2 linked regions of the Notamacropus eugenii genome follow. The protein of the gene in region 1 interacts with the protein of each later gene in a biochemical or structural test. Links are inferred from orthologs where the notes say so. Each region holds a gene or a part of one and is shown in the gene's direction. Other genes may lie near its edges.

What was found.
Region 2: the proteins of TXNIP (region 1) and SLC2A1 form a complex in vitro, tested with the Homo sapiens proteins (2 studies listed by BioGRID). The link is inferred for Notamacropus eugenii from reciprocal best matches to the Homo sapiens genes TXNIP and SLC2A1.

What each region holds. Positions count from the first base shown.
Region 1 is NC_092873.1:303,291,829-303,302,696, reverse strand, and holds TXNIP (thioredoxin-interacting protein), read left to right. Parts: upstream 1-5,743; 5' UTR 5,744-6,157; coding exon 6,158-6,407; intron 6,408-6,791; coding exon 6,792-6,864; intron 6,865-6,976; coding exon 6,977-7,124; intron 7,125-7,519; coding exon 7,520-7,622; intron 7,623-7,737; coding exon 7,738-7,994; intron 7,995-8,111; coding exon 8,112-8,268; intron 8,269-8,375; coding exon 8,376-8,521; intron 8,522-8,643; coding exon 8,644-8,679; 3' UTR 8,680-10,028; downstream 10,029-10,868. UniProt on the Homo sapiens protein: May act as an oxidative stress mediator by inhibiting thioredoxin activity or by limiting its bioavailability.
Region 2 is NC_092876.1:74,284,068-74,295,097, forward strand, and holds the start of SLC2A1 (solute carrier family 2, facilitated glucose transporter member 1), read left to right. Parts: upstream 1-5,370; 5' UTR 5,371-5,746; coding exon 5,747-5,764; intron 5,765-11,030. UniProt on the Homo sapiens protein: Facilitative glucose transporter, which is responsible for constitutive or basal glucose uptake. Has a very broad substrate specificity; can transport a wide range of aldoses including both pentoses and hexoses.

The sequences.
Region 1 (10,868 bases):
GTGGCCTAGTGAACACAGAGGTAAGCTTGGAGTTAAAAACACTTGAGTTCAGATTTGGACTCAGACATTTACTAGCTTTGTGAATATGAACAAATTACCTAAAACCTCTATGCCCTCTGTTCTCTTGTCTATAAAATAGGACTAATAATAGTGCCTACTTCCCAGGATTGTTTTAAGGATAAAATGAGTTAATATTTGTAAAGTACCTCACAAACCTTAAAATACTTTAAAAAATGTTCACCATAATAGGATCAGGTCTAGATCCTTTGGATAGATCTCCAAGTTGACATTGTATCATTAATGACCATTATTTAGGTCATCACTGAATCTACCCAACTGTACTATCAGCCAGCCCATATCTCTCTATTTGTCCACAAAGACCAACCAATCAACAAGTGGTTATTAAGCATGTTTTATATGTCAAACACTGTACTAATCACTGGGGAACATAAGTAAAAAGAATCAAATGATCCCTTCTCACAAGGAGATTACATTTCAGTGAAGAAGATAAATACATATAAAAATATATACAGCATAAATACAAAGTTAATATGTATGTGTGTGTGTGTGTGTGTGTGTGTATATATATATATATATATATATATATATATATATATATATATATATATATAGAGAGAGAGAGAGAGAGAGAGAGAGAGAGAGAGAGAGAGAGAGAGAGAGAGAGAGATTGAGCTGGGACTTAGAGGAAGACAGAGACTCCAAAACAGAGATAAGAGGTGGGGATGGGAGAAGTGACACATTCTAGACATATGGGAGATGGAGTATTATGAGGAATAGATAGAGATTCATTTGGCTGGATATCATAGTGTGGGGTTAATGTTCAATGAACCAGGAAAGATAGGTTGGAGCCAGACTATGTGGAGTTTTAAAAGTATAAAATGAAACACTATGTCAAATGCTTCACTGAAATTTAAGACGATTTTTCTAGCCATTCTCTTGAGAAAGATTAGTATGGTATGATTTGTCTTTGATGAAGCTATACTGGATGGCTCTTAGTGATCAGTGCTTCTTTTTCTAGATGTTCACAAACCAACCCTTCAACTGTGCTCTAAAGTTTTGCCAAAAATTAAAGTCAAGGTTACTATCTTCTAGTTTGCAGGCACTATTTTCTTTCTTTTTTTGAAAATTGGGACATTTGACAGTGAAAGGAGAGAGTTGGATATTAATTTTAGAGACTGAGTCAGCAGGATTTGGTAATTGACTGGAAATTAAACAATTACTAAGCATTTACTAAGCACCATGAAGGAAGGAAAGGATTTCAATAAGCAGAGTTGTGAGGGAAAATCATTGTATGTGTGAGGCAACCAGGTGGATCCTATTCCCTTTTTATAAGATCATTTACTTAGTGCTTGAAGGATCAGTCAGATGTCAGTCAATAAGCATTGGTTAAGTGTTTACTATGTGCCAGGCACTGTGTAAGTTCTGGGGAAAAAAAGAAAAGCAAAAAACAGTTCCTGCTTTCAAGAAGTTGTCTGTCCACTGGGTTAGACAGTATGGAAATTTGAACTAAAGAGAATGAGGAATGGCATCTTGTAGAAGGTAGGATTTCAGCTAAGACTTAAAGGAAGCCAGGAGACAGAGATGACAAAGAAAAGATTTCCAGGCATGGGGATAGCCAGTGAAAATGCCCAACTGGAGAGATAAGTGTCTTGTTAGAAAAACTGCAGGAAAACCAAAGTCACTTAATGGAAGGGTGTGGGAATATAAAATTTAAGAGATCGGAAAAGGTAGATAGGGCCAACGTGTGAAGGATTTTGAATGTCAAATCCATTGTTCTTTTCACTGCCTCAGGGTGCATAAATATACTGTCCTAGTGACATAGCAGTTTGAGATCTCCAAAATTTCACAAAAGAATAAGACAGTAAATGCTTAACAATAAAACTTTATTTTGACTACATTTTGACTCATATAAGGAAAGGTATAAGGAGATACCCAGGGGCAGGAACAGAGAGCCAAGAGCAATAAGGGATGGATACAAGCAGGGCAACTCTAGGACACCTGGGGAAGGGATACATACACCCAGGGTGCAGGCAAAAGTTGTGAGTTTTATTGGGGGAAGTGGTTTTCCTGTCTCTGATATCACAAAATGGCTAGAGGATGTTGGCTATATAAACATAGCATATATACATTTTCAGAAAAGCACAGGGCTGCCAAGCCCAAGCAAGGGATATAATAATGAGAGGCACTCTTCAAAGAGAGGCTAGGTCCAAAAAAAAAAGGGGGGGGAGGAGGGCTTTATTTTGAGGACTATCATATATAAAGGCAAGGAAGGAAGGGCAAGACAAAGCTGAGAATCACTGAAAAATCTACTTAGGGTAGAATATAAAGTGCAGGGGGAACTAGTATGTGATGATGCTTAAAGCTATGTTGGGGTCTTGAATGACAGGATGAGAAGCATATATTTTATTCAATAAACAACAGGGAGCATCTAAAGGTTTTTTTAAAAAGAATAACATCTTATATACAAGGAAATTATTTTGATAGTAGTTTCAAAGATAAATTAGAGAAGGGGCAACCAATTAGGATAAGACAGTATTCTAGTTAAGAAGTAATGAGGACTTGAACTAGTTGTAGCATATCCCTTTACAGAATAGGAAACAAAAAGAATGCTCTGTCTTTTGAATTATTTCCCTGCTCTAAATCTATGACCTTATGGTCCTATATTCACGGCTCTCACTGAATATTGATAGAGGCCTGGTTAAGTCTACACTAGAAAAAATTCTTCCAAATTCAATTCTGTTTTACAAGTATCCTTAACTCTACTACTACCACCAAGGTCAATCTTCATAGTTATGAGATGCCCTCTCTTTCATCCAGGCCTCCTATTTTCCCCTAAAGTGAAATTCCCTCTAAAAAGGTGGGGGAGGGATAGGGAGAGGAAGGAGGGAAAGAAATTAAATGAGTAGTCAGAGAGGGAAGTTATGGATATTGGGAGTCACAAATACAACTGGAGGTGCATAGTGGAGCAACAAACTCATGGGCTGAGGCTACTAGATTTCTTAAATCCCTGAGGCCAAGGCCTGAGGTTGAACAGGGCAGCTTGTAACTTGTCTCTGCCCAACAGCAGACTAATCAGTGAGGACACCTTATTCCTTAAGATCTTGGCTTGTATTCAACACCTCCACCCAAAGAAAAGCAAACAAACAACAATCACTTTTTAGTTTCCCTCTGACTCAAGTGAAGAAAACCGAGGCCTGAAAAGAAAAAGGTGCACTAATATGCAAAGTTCTTGTACCTAGCACTACTGTGCAGCCCCTCCCAAGTTTATCCCCTTCTTGTACCCTCAATGCGCTTCTTTTGGGAAAAGGAATTTGCAGAATTTTCTCTTTCCTCAACCCAAGAACTGGGGGGAAGATTCTGGAGGCTGATTTTATTTTTTTTTAGCAGGTTATCAAGGGAAAGGTTGTAAACAACCCTGTTGTTGAGGGTGCCGTTTCAGAAAATATCTTGGCCGAAGGCCCTGGCAAGTTATTACTGCCAAAGCTAAATAGTTTTTTGACATTCAAGGCAAGCTTGGCATAACAGGGAGCATATCCATACCACTCAGGTCTGCAAAGAGTGGCGATAACAGAAAAATACGTAAGAAAAATACCCAGGACAAAGACAGATTTATTGTAGGATATGGAAAAAGAGTTGGATTCAGCATTTCATGGTTATGCCCAGATAAATATCAGTGTTTTTAACTTCTCCAAGAAGTCTTCTATAATACTACAGCTTCAATTACTCTGTAGCTCTTCTCTACCTTCGATACTCATATGCACAATAATTAAACTTTAATTTACAGTCTGATGTATTTTGTGTTTTTATGTTGTTTTTTTCTTTTTGTTCGTTCTCTACTATCTAAAAGCAAATCCTTCAGCGTTAAGGACTGTGAAACATCACACCAAGACTGACCTGGGAACTCAATCACTGCTCTTCACTGACAAAAACACCCTCTATTTTGTTAGGTAACTGTACAACAGAGTGCTACTTCTAACCCACACACCCCCTGGGATCAAGATGTTCCTGGGGCTAATTCCGTTCTTTCTTACCAATTAAGTCATCAAGCCTCATCCCGGAACTTTCTCCTCTTCGATTGTAATTTGCTAGCCTGAGGGTGTTATCACAATTGGGGTGTGAGATGAAGGAATTAAGGTCCTTATCATCATAGGAAAAAAATAGTGGAGGAAGTGGGGTTCCATTCCATTCTACTGCCTTTCTATATGTTCTCAGACTTTTGGACATCAGCATCCCCTTCTGACCAGGAGGACTGAAGCAAATTTCAGATATCCACAAATAGAAAAGACAGGGAGCCTAAGAAAGGAAAGATGAACTGCATCTAAAAATAAAAGTTCTAATTATAACAGAGTTTTTGGCCTTAGTAGGACTAACTTTCAATAGTCATCTTCTAAGATCTTATGGCCAACTCATTCAGGGGAAAACCCACCTGATAGAGAGATCCAAATTAAGCCTCCTGAAAGCACAGCACACAATAGGATATTAGTTAGACTTTCTGGAGACTTCCAAATCTGCTTCCTCTTCCCTTCATTTCTTCATTTTCTAAAGGCTTTTGGAAAAAGTAGTGATCAATAATCATATATATACTTGAAAAAAACAACTGTTCTGTTGTGCTTAGGATTGCTTCTTCCATGAGCTGAGACACAAGTTTTTCTCCTTCATCTTGAGGTTGGTTTTCCCCCTTTTTGGGGGGCTGCGGGAGCGTGTAGGGAGGGCAGAGGGTGCCAGAGCAGGGGGTGCCAGCTGGCTCAGAGAGCGCTTAGGTCAGGCATTAGAGATGGGTGGAGGATCCTATGGCTTTGTCAGGTGTGAAGCAAGATTGGCCAAGCAGATGCTTGGGGATAAACGCACTATATTCGCTGTATTCCTCAAAGGGGCGACCAGGTACATGGGGGCATGGACACAGTGTCCCCCCTGCTCTACAGGGAAAGACGACGCAGAGATGGGGGGTTAAGCCACACACCCTTCTTGTTTCCCTTTCAAAAAGAACAGGGTGGTTGAGGAGGGGAGGGGGAAAAGAAGGTGAGGAAAGGCAATAATCCTTGTGAGGAAGCCAGGAGCTGAAGGAAAGGGGGGTGAGAAAACTCACGCCCCCCAATGTCCAATTTGGGGGCTCAGACTGAAGAGAAAGTTGACAGACACCAGTGACCCCCCCCTTTTTTCTCTAAGTTTTCTGGGGAGGGTTTGCCTGAAAAAGGAATTCTCCCTCCGTCCCCATTCCTTCAATTCTCAATTTAATGGAGAACTTTCCAGGGTTTCTGTGGGAATGTCTTTGAGGAAAGTCGCCTAAATTGGGTGAACAGAGGACAGTCAGAGATGACTCGAGATCTGAGGGGCCTGAGCAAGGTTGGGTTACCCTAAAGTTAGCCTCGCGCACTAAAGAGAAGCCTGCCATGCCCCTGGGGGGCTTTTCCCCTTTCACCCAAAAACGCCAGTCCTTGACATCAACACCCGCCCTCCGACGTCTATTAGAACGCTGATAGGCTTAGGGGCAATCCCTTCGCCCTCCTTTCATTTGTCTCCAGGGACGTCGCTCAAGAACCCCTCCGCCCCCTCCTTCCTCGGAGGAAACCGTGCACAACAACCGTTTACCCCGCCAGGGGCACACTGTGTCCACGCGCTCCAGGCCGCGCGCTGATTGGCTGTGTCCCTGGTAAACAAGGAAAAGGCAGCCAATGGGAAGATTGTGCACGAGGACAGCACGAGCCACCTCGCAGGCCCTCGCGTGGCTCCGACAGTTAGAGCCCTATATAGGGCTGTTTCCGCCTGCTCCTTGAGTCAATCCCTAGAGCGCTGCCTTCGGACCTGTGCTTTCTCGTCCCCAGATTTCGGGGAGGGGCATTTCCTTAAAACTCCTTTTGGTCTCAGACACGAAGCCTTTTTTTTCTTTCGAAGTCCCTTGACTTATATTTTCTAGGCTTTTCTACTTTTTAAAAGTTTGCAAAGGCTGATTTGAGAGGCTCTTCGATTTCTTAGAATCCAAGCGCCCAGCCTGTCAGCGGACAAGCCCATCCAGACCAGGGAGACCGAACTGTCCGTCCTCCGCTTAACCGGAAAGGTTAAATCCTCCTTCGGCTCTCTCTCTCGAGAAACTTTATTCCTTGTCTGCCCCGTTCTCTGAGTGACCCAACCCCCAGCTATGGTGATGTTCAAGAAAATCAAGACTTTCGAGGTGGTCTTCAGCGACCCCGACAAGGTGTACAGCAGTGGGGAGAAGGTGGCCGGCCGGGTGGTGGTGGAGGTGTGCGAGGTGACCCGGGTCAAGGCGGTCAGGATCCTGGCCTGCGGAGTGGCCAAAGTGCTGTGGCTGCAGGGCTCGCAGCAGTGCAAGCAGGTGGTGGACTACCTGCGCTACGAGGACACGCTCCTGCTGGAAGACCAGCCCGCAGGTAAGGGGCGCGCCCTGCAGGGCGGGGGTGGGGGGAGGGCCCCAGCTGTTAGAAAGGGAGCCCTGGGGCACTGTTCTGGGGGGGGGCGGGGGGAGCTGAATCTTTGTCCTTGCATCTGGCCAAGTGAGGAGTATTCCCAGCCTTCGCTTGAGCTAAGCTGCAGTGCCTTGGATGCTTAACGAAGTCTCAGTGTTAGAGCTGGTTTCAGGGTCGGCGCTTTGGACTCCTTTACATCATTAACCTTTCCTTTCGGGAGACTGGAATGTAGTTAGTTTCAGAAAATGGTCCTTATATTGTTTAGGCATTTCTGCATTTAAAATAAGATCAGTACCACTTTTTTAGTAAGTCTAATGGTGGATCTTTTTTTTTTTCCTTTCCCTGAAGCTAACGATGAGTTTGTGATCCTGAGACCTGGAAACAAGTATGAGTACAAGTTCGGCTTTGAACTTCCTCAAGGGTAGGTGTTAGCTCTGCTGTCCTTTTCTTTAAAACCTCCCTTCCCTTAGGCACCCAAGGTTTCTTGATGGTTGAGTAATCTAAAAGGAATCGTTCTCTTTATTCCACCCTAGGCCTCTGGGAACCTCATTCAAGGGGAAGTATGGCTGTGTAGACTACTGGGTAAAGGCTTTCCTAGACCGTCCCAGCCAGCCAACTCAAGAAACCAAGAAGTACTTTGAAGTGGTAGATCCAGTGGATGTTAATACTCCTGATTTGATGGTAAGCTTTCCCAATAGGCTTAAGTCTTGAGTAGTGAGAGATCTTAGGAAGCAGGAACCCTGCCTCTTGACAAGGCGTATACTGAAAATAAAAATCTAATCTTTAGCTTAAAATGAAAGTGAATAAACATTTAACTCTTAAAGTTTCTGACAGCAGTATAGTCTCACTAAACCCTACAAAACCTGGTTGTCATGACCATTGACAAAGATGTTCAAGCAGAGCTTAGAGGAGAGTATAATTATGGTAGATGATGATACTGCAGGTCTTATCTAATATTACATGATAATGGACTAGAATCTCAGGAGATAGAGGTCCTCATAATGAAAAGCAGGAGCCATCTTTACTTGGCAATTCTCAGAAACTTTAACAAAGATTTCTTTATTTTCCCTATTCAGGCACCTGTGTCTGCCAAAAAGGAGAAAAAAGTTTCTTGCCTGTTTATTCCTGATGGGAGGGTATCTGTCTCTGCCCGGATTGACCGAAAAGGATTTTGTGAAGGTAAGAGAAGTCTGGGCTTGGGAGAGGCAGCTATTGCATAGTGTTGGGGAAGGGTTATGAGCCATAAATCATCAGCTATACAGTCTTTAGTAACAAAAATCAATGCTTTTGTCAGGTGATGAAATCTCCATCAATGCTGACTTTGAGAATACGTGTTCCCGAATCGTTATGCCAAAGGCTGCTATTGTTGCCCGCCACACTTACCTTGCCAATGGCCAGACCAAGGTGTTGACCCAAAAGCTATCTTCTGTTCGAGGCAACCATATCATTTCTGGCACCTGTGAATCATGGCGTGGCAAAAGCCTTCGTGTACAGAAGATTAAACCCTCCATCCTTGGCTGCAACATCCTTCGTGTTGAATACTCTTTATTGGTGAGTGAGTCTGTCTCTGGGATTAGGGTAAATTGATCATTGAATCAAGCAGTTTTATATTTATATGTCATGGCACTCTGGTGTAACAGAAACAATTTTTTTCTTTCCTATATATAGATCTATGTCAGTGTCCCTGGATCTAAGAAGGTCATTCTTGACCTGCCCCTAGTCATCGGCAGCAGGTCAGGACTCAGTAGTCGGACATCCAGCATGGCTAGCCGAACCAGCTCTGAAATGAGTTGGGTGGATCTAAACATCCCTGACACTCCAGAAGGTGAGCCAAAGTAGTATACCCCTGTACTCCTATTTTCCCACCAAAGATTCCTGGAAATCAGAATTTGGTTGTCTGAGTTGTTTATTTTCTCTATTTTCTCTATGCAGCACCTCCTTGCTACACGGATATTATTCCTGAAGATCACAGACTGGAGAGCCCCACCACTCCTCTCCTTGATGATAGCTCTCTGGACAGCCCCATCTTTATGTATGCATCCCAGTTCAAGTTTATGCCTCCACCCACTTACACTGAGGTGAGAATTATTACCTTCATTGAATGAAGGTGGAGGTGGGGGTTCCCAACTTACATATTCTGATTCCCCTGCTTCTCTCCTACCCTCTAAATCTAAAACCATCTTTCTTTTTTCCCTTCTAGGTGGATCCCTGTATTGTGAACAACAATGTGCAGTGAATGTACCAAAGAAGAGAAGCAGCTGTTTATCTACCTGTTTCTTTCTGTCTCTCCTGGACTGCTTTTTCAGAGGCATGATGGTCTCTACCCACTGTTGGGGATGGGTTTCCTTTCACCTCTATCTCCCTGATGTTAGGAGATAAGCAGGCCGTCATCTCCTAAAACAGATGCCAAAGTGCGTCTACCCTCTCAGCCGATCTTGCTGTTGTGTCATAGAGAGAGGATGTATGCTGGTTTGTGGGAGGTTTGGACTCTGTTGTGACCCGTTTCCTCAGAATTCCCCTGAAATATGAGGGGTTTTCAGTAGTTTGGTCAGGGTTGGGATGGCCTCTAGTTTGGTCTTCCCAGGATCTCTGGGGAGGGTGGGGTATTGATTGCAATCACAAAAAGTTGACTTCTGGGAATCACCATGCCAGGCAAAGGTGATTTAATGATCTGGGAAAGGTTTTATAGAAATAATGGCCAAAATTTTGGTGGGAAGAAGAGGCTTCCTGAAATGAGTATAGCCCTTCTCACATCTCCACTGTATGTATATGTTTAAAGGTGCTCCCAGTTTTTTAGAAATTTCTCCTGATGAGAAAGGGAAGTGTGATCCCCTGCACTTCTCGGATGATACGTTATCCTTGTTTCAAAGCAAAGGCAAAGAGGAGGGAGGCTGGTGAAAGCCTGTGCCTAAGCACTTTGTTCTTCCTCTTTAGGAGTTTGGGTTCAGTGTTGGTAGGTGGTAGGAGGGGACTCCCTTGGAGTTAATTCTGAAGTATTGTTCTTAGCACTTTTGTTCTCTTTTCCATTGGGGATTTTCCTCCTAGTTCCCCCTAAGCATTCAACTAACGGGTCTGGGATGGTTAAGGGAAAACTAATGATTGTGATGAAATTCTTGTCTTTACTGGTAGCTTTCTGAGGAGTAGTTATTAAGGGAAGGTCCTTCAGTCCCAGCCCTGCAAATTGGAAAAGAGGCTACCAGAACACTCCAAAGCTGGGATCATGCTGCCAAATAACCTCTTAGGAAACAAATCAGAATCGGGCAGCTTTCCCACCCTTGAACACAGTTCCCAGTGTTAAAAGAGGAGTTTTGAATAATTCCTTTTTCCCCTTAGCCCTCAGCACTTAATTAAGCAATCAGCACTTTCTCTACTGTCTTGTGTCAAAGCACTGAGCCCCCCCCCCCCCCACACTCTTATCTGTGAACTGTACAACTTAGAAAATGGACTGAACGTGGTTTTGGTTTTTTTTTTTTAAATGTTTTATCTTTTTGTATGTTAAAAAATTATATTTTGTACTTTTTATCAGAGATATTTTCAACTCCTTGGAGGTCTTTTTTTAAAAATAAAAATTTTATAAAAATAAAAGTTTTCTGTTTTTCTTGGGTGGAAGTTTTTGGAGAGATTAAAAAAGTATTTGATTTATACACTCTTATCTTTAAACACTGTTCTAGAAACTGCCCTAGCTACTGACAGGGATAACTGGATAGAGGATTTGAAAGCATGGGTGACCCTACATACACCACTAACTGTTTAAAAAATAAATTCATCTTGGATAGGTTTCTCTTTGCAGAAAGAAAGGGCCAAATGGTTTTGCTAGTGCTACAGCCCTCTATTTTCTTAACCAATGATTTGAAACCATTTTTAGTAAGAGAATGATTTCTGAGAAATCAAAATAATGTTTCCAATTTCAAGGCACCACATAATATTTATGTAATTAAGTTAGTTGAGATAATGACAAAACTGATTCTTCTGTGATCTCAATAAAGACAACTGTAATGCAGATGTGTACAAGACAATTGAGTAAAGAGCATTTTTTTATAGTCAATAAGATGGGCATCTTAATATCTTAGAACCCCGGTTCTATCCCATAGTAACTTTGATCACTCCTAGCTCTCAGTTTTGTGAAGTGAGATGTATTCTTTTTACCGGTTTAAAGTTGATCTGTATTATGGGTCTTTTTTCCAGCTGGTAGAAAAGAGTGGAGGGAAAAAGTGTCATTAGGTCTGGATTTTTCTTTTTTGATTCTTTAGTAAGCTTCCCTCAGAAAATAGCTGGATTTGGGGGCTGGGTCTTTTAAAGAACTAGAATACAATTCTTGGGTTGATTGCCACCCCAAGTCCCTTGGTGTCTTCTTCCTTCTCCCATGTGCTACCTTTGATCTTTTCCCATCGGGGGTTCAATATACTGTTTCCCTTATTTCTGGAG
Region 2 (11,030 bases), on another chromosome or scaffold:
AATCACTTAAGCTCTCAGTGCTACAGGCAACTCTCCAAGTCGATAAGATTCAGAGAAGTTGCCAACTTGAATCAGCAGAGGGAATTTCCTCACCCTAGGGTTACATATACCAATGAAATCAGAGGTCTAATCCTATCCCTATTGATATAATCATATGGCTTGAACTTTTGTGGGGGGGGTTATACAATTATGTTAGTTGTTTCTGTAATACTGAACCATTCTTGTAATACTGGTATAAATCCAACTTGATTCAGAATTTACAATCTATGATTGAAGAAACTGTATCATCTTCCTCCTCCTTTTTTTTCTTTCTCCTTCATCACATATGGTCTCTCTGTCCATGTGGGAATGAATGCTCTTTCCAAAGGAATATGATTTCACTTATATTTTATAAGATGTCTTGGGGCTTGGGAGCTAGAATTTTTAAAATTTCCTATGTATTTCATAATTTATTTTTTCAAAAAGCTGGGACAATTAACTCTTTGTCTTACACAGTTTTCATTTATGATTTCTTGAAATATAGTTGTGAGTAATAGTAGCTACCTTCTGGGGATCCAACTTGTTAGTCAAGTTGAGCAATGTTTCTATTTCTTCTCCTCCTCCTCTTCCTTCTTCCTTTATCATATGTGGTCCCTCTGTCCACATGAGGAGTCATACCCTTACATGTGGGTGCTCTATCCAAAGGAATACAATTTTCGGTTTCTTTTATCATTTTTTCAGGAAGCTGGGACAGTTAACGCTTTGTCTTATATAGTTTGCATTTATGATTCCTTGAAATATAAATCTGAAAAAACAGGCTTTGAAAATCCCATTATGATTCAAATGGAGCTACCTGACTAGGCCTTTAAACCCAAATTACTCTGGGTTTCATTAACTGACCAATAACAGTTCCCCAATCCAAACCTCTCTTGACCATTTTTGGGTTTTAATGGCTAAGAATGAAAGCGAGTACCAATTGTTTTCTATTCTGGCCAAAAACTCTAAGGGTCTTCTCCTCCCAGGTTGATTCCTTTGTAATGGCAAACTAGGTCATCTTCTCTGTCTCAATTCTTACCTAGCCCTTGATCATTTAATGGGTGTTGCCTCAGACAAACTGAGACTTGAGACCTTAGTTTAAAAAGGCCAAGATCACCCACTGTATCCTGGGCAATTGCCAGTTGTCTGACTTTTGTCTTGCCGTTGAACTCTGGTGACTGGAGGAGAGTGAGGCTGATGATTTTACACAGCTCTGCCTCACTTAAATCCAGTTTATTAGCAAGTCAAGACTCCACCCTTATGATGTCATTGGTCCTCCTGAAGATAAAGGATGTACTACAATTTTGACTCCTTTTCCTAAGGGCCAGTTTTTCATTCCTCTTGGGGAGAAACCAGTTTAGAATTGGAGGAAGGTTGTGAAAGAATGGAACTTGATCCATAGTTAAAAATGTCAGCCTGCCCCTTTCTAATAGTAGGAAACATCATAGACTCATAAGCTAGTCCTACTATAAGGGACCTTCTTGATCATGTTAGGTCACTTTACAGATGGAAAAGCAGAGGACTACAATAGAAAGGGGCTTGCCCAAGATCATATGGGGAGATCATGTCAGAACCTGAGTCAGAACCCAGATGTGTAGCCTCCTAGTCCTGGCTCTTTGTCCTGTAGCCTTGATCAAAGGAGGGCACTAAGTACCTAAAATCTAGAACAGAAGTGGGGGTAGGGGGTCAGGGTGAAAAGGTGATGAGCATGAGGATCATTGATGGCAAACTGCAAATTTCATTATGGGCTGACCCCAGAGGTCACTCATCTGCAGATGTTCCCCTTGCAGAATAGTTCTAGAAATAACCATTTTAGCTCTTCACCATCTGGTTCCAGCCTACCTTTCTTGGCTTATCACACATTATTACCCTTCACACTTTACCAGCATTCTAGCTAAACTGACCTATTTGCTGTTCTAGAATTCAGCATTCCATCTCCTCAGAAAACTCATTTCCTGCCCAGCTGCACTCATTTTGGCTTTTCTACCATGCCCCTATAACTTCATCACTGGGAAATCTTATAACCTTGCAAGATCCAATAACCCTTGATATTCATACCACATCAATACCCTCTGCCCCTCTGAAGGATGGAAACATAAACTCTTCCTAATACCCTCTCCTTGCTCAATTTCCTGTATATACTTGTCTGCTTACCTCTTTTTCTCCCCACAAACCCACCCCTCTCACCCCAGACAGAACATAAGCTCCTTCAGGGCAAGGAATGGTTTTTTGTTTTGTCAGGTAGATGATACATGGTAAATTAGACTGGATTAGAGATATTATCAGAGTCCCCACTGTGGCAACAGTTAGGGTTAGTTAACCTTGTTAAGCTGGGCAGCCAATCAAAATCTTAACACAATTCTCTATACTAGAGTATGAACTCCTGAGGAGCCCTGCCCCTGGTTTCTAGACTCCCCAAACTAGCTGCTGCTGCTAGCTCATCTTAGATGTCTGGGGCTTCATCACCCTACCATCCTCAAAGCCTTCTCAACCCAGAATGTTCCTCTGGAAGGCCCATCCTTTCCTCTCAGTGATGAGTTCCTCTAGTACCCTCCATTTTGTGAAGGGTCAGAGGGTGCCTTTCATTTCCCTCCTGGGCCTATTCCTGGCTCCTGGACTTCACAATCATGCCCCTGTGCTGCCTATCTTCATTCCCCACCACACACACCTTTTTCACCTCGTGTGTGTGTGTGTGTGTGTGTGTGTGTGTGTGTGTGTGTGTTCCTATATTAGAATATAAGTTTCCTGAAGACAAGGGCTCTTCCTTTCTGTTTATATTTGTATCAGTAGCACTTATCACAGTGTCTGACACTATTGCATATCCTTAATAAAAACTATATGTAAGCTTAATAAATGCTTCTTTCCTTGCTTGAGGTTAAGGACCAGTTATTCATCTTTATTAACTTGGGAACGTAGTTTATTATTTCTTTTATTTATAAATTTATTAACCTTGGGAAAATCATTTTCTTCCTCTGAGTTTGTTTCCTCTTCTGTAAAATGAGAGGACTTGATAAATCGACAGTCTCTAAGACTTCCTCCATTTCTGGCATCTGTTTTGTTTATGTTCTAAGGTTCCTTCTGGCTCTTACATTCTGTGTTCTAGGATCCTTTCTAGTTCTATATTTCATTAGGTAAGTCCCCTTCCAAGCATGACATTTCATGATTTCATGTGCTTCCTCCCCATATGGACATATTCTTGGCTATTCCATTACAACTGCACAACTCCCCCACCACAGAGCTGTATATAGTTGTATATAGATTTCATATTTGATGGGTAAATAATGAAAGAGGAGGGGAAGACTGATGATAAGCTTGAGGCACTGGGACAAAGGGGGACAGTAATTAGGCAAATCCAAAGGTCCCTGTCAGTCTATAAGGTCTTTAATAGCCTTTATAAACTCATCTAATATCTTGTTTACTTGAAGCCTGGAAGGATTTGTGTGTTGGAAAACACCCCTAAATCCCTAGCTGTTTGGCTCTCCCCTAGTCTCTGAGGGACCTCTCAGAGGATCTACTTTGAGAAAAAAAGAGACAGAGACAGAGAACAGAGGAAGTAAAAGGGATAGAGAAAGGAAAGGGAAAAAAAAGAGGAAGAGGGAGAAGAGGAAAGAGAAAGGAAAGATGATGAAAAGGAGAGGAAAAGGAAATGGAGGAGAGAAGGCAAGAGAAGGAGAGGGAAAAGAGAGGAAAGGGAAAAGTAGGAGAGGCAGATGAAAAGGACTTTCCTTTAAAGGTAAAATAGGCTGCTCCGGAGACTTACTCATCAGACTCAGCTCAGCATGAGAAGCACACACCCAGCCTCTCCCTGCCTGCTCCCAGGCTCCAGAGAGTAAATTGCCTCTGTCCACACACATTTCCCTCCCCCCGCTTCCCCCACTACCCACATGTGCTCACACAGGCACCAGCATAGCATGGACCTTTACTCTGCCTGCCCGACACCAAGCTCTGCTCCACCAACCCCAAAGGTTTCCCTTCCTTTGTTGGTCTTTTGAAATCAACTGAATCTCTAGGAATAGATTCGGGTTCAAGCCACGGATAACTCAGCTCTTCCAAGACAAAGTGTCCAGTGTGAGTCCAGCCAGGAGGAATGTGAGAAAGTTTCTGCATCTCAGCCTGCATGTTCCTTGGGATCTCAAAGAGCTATCTGGCTCCCCTCAATACAACCCTCACACCATCCCCCAAGTCACAGAGTCAGCTCAGAGTTTATTGTTAGGGTTTGCTTCAAGGGAGAGAGGGATGACCTGGCATGATTCTGTAAGAAGGCAGGATGATGCTACCAGGGAGATTCTGGTTGTAGTCCTGTATGTCACTAACTCTCTGTTTGACCTAGAGTAAGTAACCACACAGTGAACTTGTTTCCTCCTTCTTTAAAAGAGGGAGACCCTCTCCCTGCTCTCATAACCTCACAGACCAATTGTCTTCATGACATCCTGAGTTACTTAGTACATATTTTTTTACATATATATATGTGTGTGTGTATTTATATATACATGATATAGATGTAGATATGTTGCTCACCCACACATACACACACAGAGCAGAGACTTCCATTTTTGTCTTTGTAGCTCCCTCAACTCCCACCTAACAGAGTAGATTTGATTTGAATGGAAAAGTAATATATAATAAAGCTGTAGAAAAAAGTAAGGTATTATTTTAAGAGCAAGCCACTTCTCACTGAATCCCAGTTTCCTCAGTTGTCAAATGGAGAGATTAAATGATAGATAGCACTGATAGATGGATAGATCCGGCGCTGGAAGGGACATCAGAGGCCAGCTAATCCAAACTCCTCATTTTACAACTGAAGAAACTGAGGCCCAATATTTAGTGACTTACCCAAGGTCACATGGATAGTAAGCATCAGAACTGGGGTTTGAATCCAGGTACTCGAGCCATCTCTCTTTCCCCGAAGTCCTTTGGTGCCCCTACATCCCTCATGTTTCTTTGCTGCGCTAGAGTAATACCTGAATAGTTACAACCCAGGGGTTGTAACTGACCCAGCCAGGGGTCAAATGGCTGTGCCCCTTCTTGTTTCCACTATCATCCCAGTCCTTTCGTAGGGATGGCTTGGAAATGGTCCCTGACTGTCTTAGGGTAGCTCTTTCCGCGGGGTTATGGAAGAAGCAGGACCTGTCTTGGACACCAGAAATGAATGGACTCCAGCACCCTGAGACCAGGGTGTTTCTTCTTCCTAGGCAGACAGAGGCAGCATCCTAGGGTCCGGCAACCAGATTTCGGCCCCCCCAACCCTCCCCCGCGGAGGAGGAGCTTAGAGCTGGGCCTCTTAGTTAAGAGGCCAACACACCCCCAACACACCCCCTGGCTCCCACAGCCAATCAGAGAAAGAGAGACCCGGCCACACATTGCCTCTATAAACCACAGGCTCGGCATTCCCGGCAAGAGCGAGAGCGGGACGGCTCCAGTGGGGTGGACTTAATCAGCCAGGCCCCGGGAGCGCAGTACCAGAGAGGGGAAAAGGGGGAAGGAAAGAAAGGAGAAAAAGTAGTTGAGGGAAAGGAGAGGAGAAAAGAAAAAGGCAGAGAGGTAAGGAAAGAAAAGAGAGGAGAAGAAAAAAGTATAAAAGAGTAGGGAGAAAAGCAGAGCGCAGGGGAAAGCAGCGCGCCCCGGCTTCCCTCCCGAGAGCCCTGGGGATCCGAGCCGGAGCCGGAACCGGAGTGCAGAGAGCGGTGGCAGCCTAGGCAGCGGCGGCGGAGTCGAGCGCACGGCGAGAAACATGGACTCCGGAGGCAAGGTAAGAACCGCGCTTAGAGAACTAAGAACTAAGTCCCCACCGAGAGGCCGCGGGCCATGCCGCTCTCCCGCCCCCGGCCCCAGGCTAGGCGAGCGGCGTGCTCGGCTAGTGATGCGAGGGGAGGGGCTGAGTCACCGGCGGCTTCCGGCTCCGCGGGCTCAGATCCCGGAGTGCCCAGCAGTACCCCACCCCCCGGGGACTGCCGGGGGCCCCAGAAGGCTCTGGGGGTGGAGGCGAAGGAGCATGGGGGGCCTACGCAGCAGGTGGCTGTTCCCCAGTCCGGCCGAGCCTGGAGATTCGGGGCATCGCCGAGGGGAGCGTGGCGTGGCGCCCCCAGTCCGGCCCAGCCGCGTGGTGTGTGCGTAGAAGGCCCTCTTGGGCTCCTGACGCCTAACGTGATCCGGTGCCGAGACCTGCATGCCCAGGGAATGTCCGGGGAAGTGGGGACTTGGGGCCGTGGCGGGGGTCGAAGGGCCCCGGGCTAGAAAGGTGCGGAGCGCGCGCGCCTTCCTTCGCTTCCCGAGGCGTGGTGCCTCCGCCCCTGTCCCCGCCTCTCCGGACTGGCTAGGGGCCAGCCGCCGGCGGGAATTTGAGGGAATCTGCGCCCCCGGCCCAGTCTGGCGGCTGCACTCCCCCCACTCCCTGGAAGCCACCAGTTTGACCGCCAGGCCTCTTCTGGCACAGTGGAGAGCCGAGGCCGTCATTCTGAGGTCGAGTTCTGCCTCTGCCAATTCCTGGCCGTGTGACTGTGGGCAAGTCGCTTCCCCTCTCTCTGGTCATGTGAAATAAGGGAGCTAGAGTAAGATCCCTTAGGTCCCTTTTCCCTCTCCTGCTGTGTGATCGGCGCAGGGCGCAAGCGCTCCAAGCGGGGGGCCGGCTGGGTGGGCGAGGGCTGACACTAAACCTTGGAATGGAAGATCTTGTCTCGGAGTCAGCCCTGGGCAAAGGAGAGACCTGGGGCTGGGTGGGGGCCCTGGTGATGTCAGCTGGGCAAACAAGCCTCTCGAAAAGGCACATCTGGCGAGTGGAAATTTATAAACTGATTGAAAGAAACCAAATTACAGTTGTGAAAGGGGAGGGCGCGTACGTGGGACTGTGAACTAGCAGGGAAACAGTTCCAGTCCCTCTCACTGCCACCCCCAAGTTTAGGGAGGTGGCGGGAAGTTTGGAGACCCTCATGGTCAGCAGGGAACAAAGGGTCCTATAGGGATTCCTAAGCGCGAGGCACTCCCCCATCTCTGACCTCGGTGGTCCAAGATTCCTCAGCTACACCGCAACTCCCTCCTTGCTGGGCCTTGGTGGGGCTCGGGCTCCTGACTTCGCCTCACCTCTCCCCAGGAGCCGAAGGAGAAAAGATGCTCTAGGACTCCGGTCCTAGACTCCAAGGGGAAGGACTTTTAGCTAATGTGGCTGTGTCGGGGAGGAGGGAGAGGGGGCGGGCGAGCCGAAGTTGCACGTTCCGCACGCACTAAGCCTTCTCTCTGGGGCTGGCCTCTCCCTGGCAGAGCCCTCCCCCAACTCTCCCACCCTCCTCTCCCTCCTGAGCTCTGTAGCTACCGGAAATTGGGGTGAGGGGCTAGGGGGGGAGGGGCTTCCCAGAGTTTGCTTCGGATTGGCCACACAGGCCGAGCCCCCTCTCCCACCTTCAACTACAGCCCCGAAGCTGCCCGACTGCAGATCCAGACATTCACAAGACCGGGTGGTCTCTTGGGAGAAGGAATCATAGTCCGGGGGAGGCAGGGACACACCTCAACTCCCTACCCCCTGTCCTTCTCTTGCTTCTTGTCTGAGGGACTGGAAAGATACAAAAAGGAGAAAGTTGAAGGCTGAGTGAGTTCTAGCTTCCTGGCAGAAGGGGAAAGGGGGATGGGAGAGGAGTAAAGAGACAGTCTCATCTCTCTTCCCCTCATAGGTCCTGGAAGGATCTGAACCCCACACCAAGCACAGCTCAGTCTAGGTGGGCACCCAGAGGGGCAGCAGGGAGGCCAAAGTGTCAGGATCTGGTTTACCAGGACTCTCAGATTGAACCCCACCCATCTTAGGGAGAGCACTTCCCGGGAACGACTGGCGTAGTTTTTCCTAGGGATACCTAGACAAATCTACCCCTCCGAATACTCTCACATGCTTCATCTCCAGGTTAATTCCTTTTCTCTTCACCTTTCAGGTTGGGGAGGGGGGGAAGCACTGAGGACCCTCTCAATCAGGAACAAATTACAACCTAGAGCATATCACTAGTGTGGGGAAAAGGTTTTCACAAAGCTTTGTGGAGGGAACATTGGACTTGGAGACACAACACCTTGAGTTCCTATCTCTACCACTTGTTGGCAATATAACCTTAGGGCCACCTTCTGAAGTTACCTCCTGAAGTGAAGGGGATGGGAACAGGTGCTACCAAGGTACCTTCTTACCTCTAACGTTTTGTGATCTATTTATTTTGTACGTAGTGGGAGAATTAAGAGGCCCAGAGGAAGGATCGAGGTTAGGATTAGAACCTCAATCTTCTGATATCTACTTCAGCTCTTTCCCATGAGCCCTCAGGCCCTACAATGCCCCCCTCTCTATACCATGCTCTACGTGTGTGTCTGTTTCTACACACATCCATGAACTGAATAAGGTTACAGTACCTCCCTCTTCCTCAGGCCATAGGTTCTTCAGTTTAGAACTAGAAGGAAAATCCAAGTTCTAGTGCTCTCATTTTACAGATGGGTAAACCGAGGCTCAAAGAGAGAGGAGGTATAACTTGCCTAAAGTCATACCAGGATTTACATATCAGAGCCAGGATTTGAATCAGGACTTTAACTCCAAATTCCAGCCCTCTCTCCATTATACCATCCTGCTTTATTATATTATCTAAACATGAGGGCTACTTTCAATATGACTCAAGAGAAATAGGGTTTTAATGAGGTTAAACTGTTTATATTCCTACATGGGAAGGTGATACTTGTAACTCTTAAGAACTTTATCATTATTAAGGCTTGTATTTGAAAGTAGACAGAGGGTACCATGTGAGTTGACTATGATGGGATGATTTTTTGAAAATGAGAGCTGTGCTAGGAGAAGGGGGAAGGGAGAGGTGGAGTGGGGTAAATTATCTCACATAAGATAGGTATGAAAGAGCTATTATAGCGGAGAAATAGATGGGGGGGTAGCAATGCTTGCACCTTAATCACTGGAATTGGCTCAAAGAGGGAATACATAGTTGGGTATAGAAATCATCTTATCCTACAGGGAAGTAGGAGGGGAAGGGGATAAGGTGAGGGGCTGATTGAAGACAGGATGGATTAAGGGAGGCAGTAGCCAGAAGCCAAAGACTTTTGATGAGGGTAAAAAGAGAAGGATAAGCAGGGGGAAAAAAATAAGACAGTAATCATAACTCATGAATGTGATGAACTTACCCATAAAACAGACTAGATAGCAAAATGGATTAAAAACCAGAATCCAACAATACATTTACAGGAAACACTTTTGGAACAAAGAAATACAGTAAAAATAAGGGGCAGAATCTCTTATTCAGATGAGGCAAAAAAGAAGGGCAGGGAGAGGGTAACAATCATGATCTCAGACAAAGCAAAAGCAAAAAAAAAAGATCTAATTTTAAAAGATAAGCAGGAGAACTGCATTTTATTAAAAGGTACTACAATGAAATAATATTAGTACTAAACATATATGTACTAAATGGCATACCATCCAAATTCTTAAAGGAAAAGTTAAATGAGTTATAGGCGGAAATAGACAGTAAAGGGTCTCAACTTTCCCCTCTCAGAACTAGACAAATCCAACCACAAAGTAAACAAGATATTAAGGAGAGGAATAGAATTTTAGAAAAGTTAGATATGGTAGACCTCTGGAGAAAACTGAATGAGAATAGTAGAAGTATACCTTCTCAGTTGTACATGACATGTACACAAAAACTGACGATGCATTAGGGCATAAAAATATCACGATCAAATGCAGAAACGAAGAAATATTAAATGTATCCTTTTCAGATCATAATAGAATAAAAAGTTACATTCAATAATGGTCCTTGCAAACATAGATTAAGAATTAATTGGAAACTAAATCTAACCCCCAAAATAAATGAGTCAAATGAATCATAAAAACAATCAATACTTTCATTAGAGAATGGCAATGAGATAACATAACAAAATTTATAGGAAGCAGCAGTACGTTGAGGAATCCCTAAATATGTCAATGAAATAGAAAAAAACGCATTAATTGGGCATGCAATTTTTAAAAATAGAAAAAGAACAAATTAAAAATCCCTAATTAAACACCAAAATGGAAATCCTAGAAAATCAAAGGAGGGATTAATAAAATTGAAAGAAAAAAACATTGAACTAATAAGCAAAATTGAGGAACTATTTTTTTTGGGGGGGGGGACGGGAAGTAGATAAACCACTGGTTAGTTTGATCTAGAAAAAATAGACTTGAGACCTGATCTAGAAAGTTGCAGGGAGCAGGTCCCATCCTGATATGGCAGCTTCACCCAGAGTAAGTGACCAAATTTAAGGGCTGCAACCAAGCCTTCTGGACAGTGGGCCCCTTGGAGTTAAATTTAGGGAAATGGTGATTGAGGTGATTCAGTAGTTACTTAAGAATTTAAGATTGTATGGGGAATGAGCCCTTCCTGATGATGAGAGGAAGGGAGGGTGCCTCCCATCTAGGGTTCAGACCTTTCATCCAGGCTTCTACCTGGCTCTTTCTATGTGTCCGTAAAGGCCAAGGCCTTCAGTATAACAGCTTAGCTGGGGGAATCTGTTGGGGGGAAGACTATTTGTCATAAATGTTAGTTTTCATTTAAACTGCTAGTACCAGAGAGGCTGGCGCGAACCCTGAGACAAGAACTTCTTTGTTTCTTCATTCCTGTATTTGCCTTGTAGAATGACCCATACTTTTTTGTGCTTTTTCAGGGACTAGGAATTAAATTAGTCTCAGCTGTTAGTAGAATCAGGAGACTAGGGTTCCTACTTCTGTCCTTATTCACTTTGTGACTTTATCTATATTAGTTTCCCACTCTGAACTTGTTTTTCCATCTGTAAAGTAAGGGTTACTCTTTTATCCAGTGATTCTGGGACTCAAGTGAGAATATATACATGTAATCTGTAACAAAGAGGGAAAGGACTTTAGAGAATTTATTCTGTTTATTTATTTATTCTTTCAAGAATTATTCTGTTTAACCCCTTCATTTTAGAGAAAGGTAAACTGAGACCCAGAGAAGAAATCAAACATTTATTGGGAAAGGGAAGGGAAAACGCAAGATCTTGAA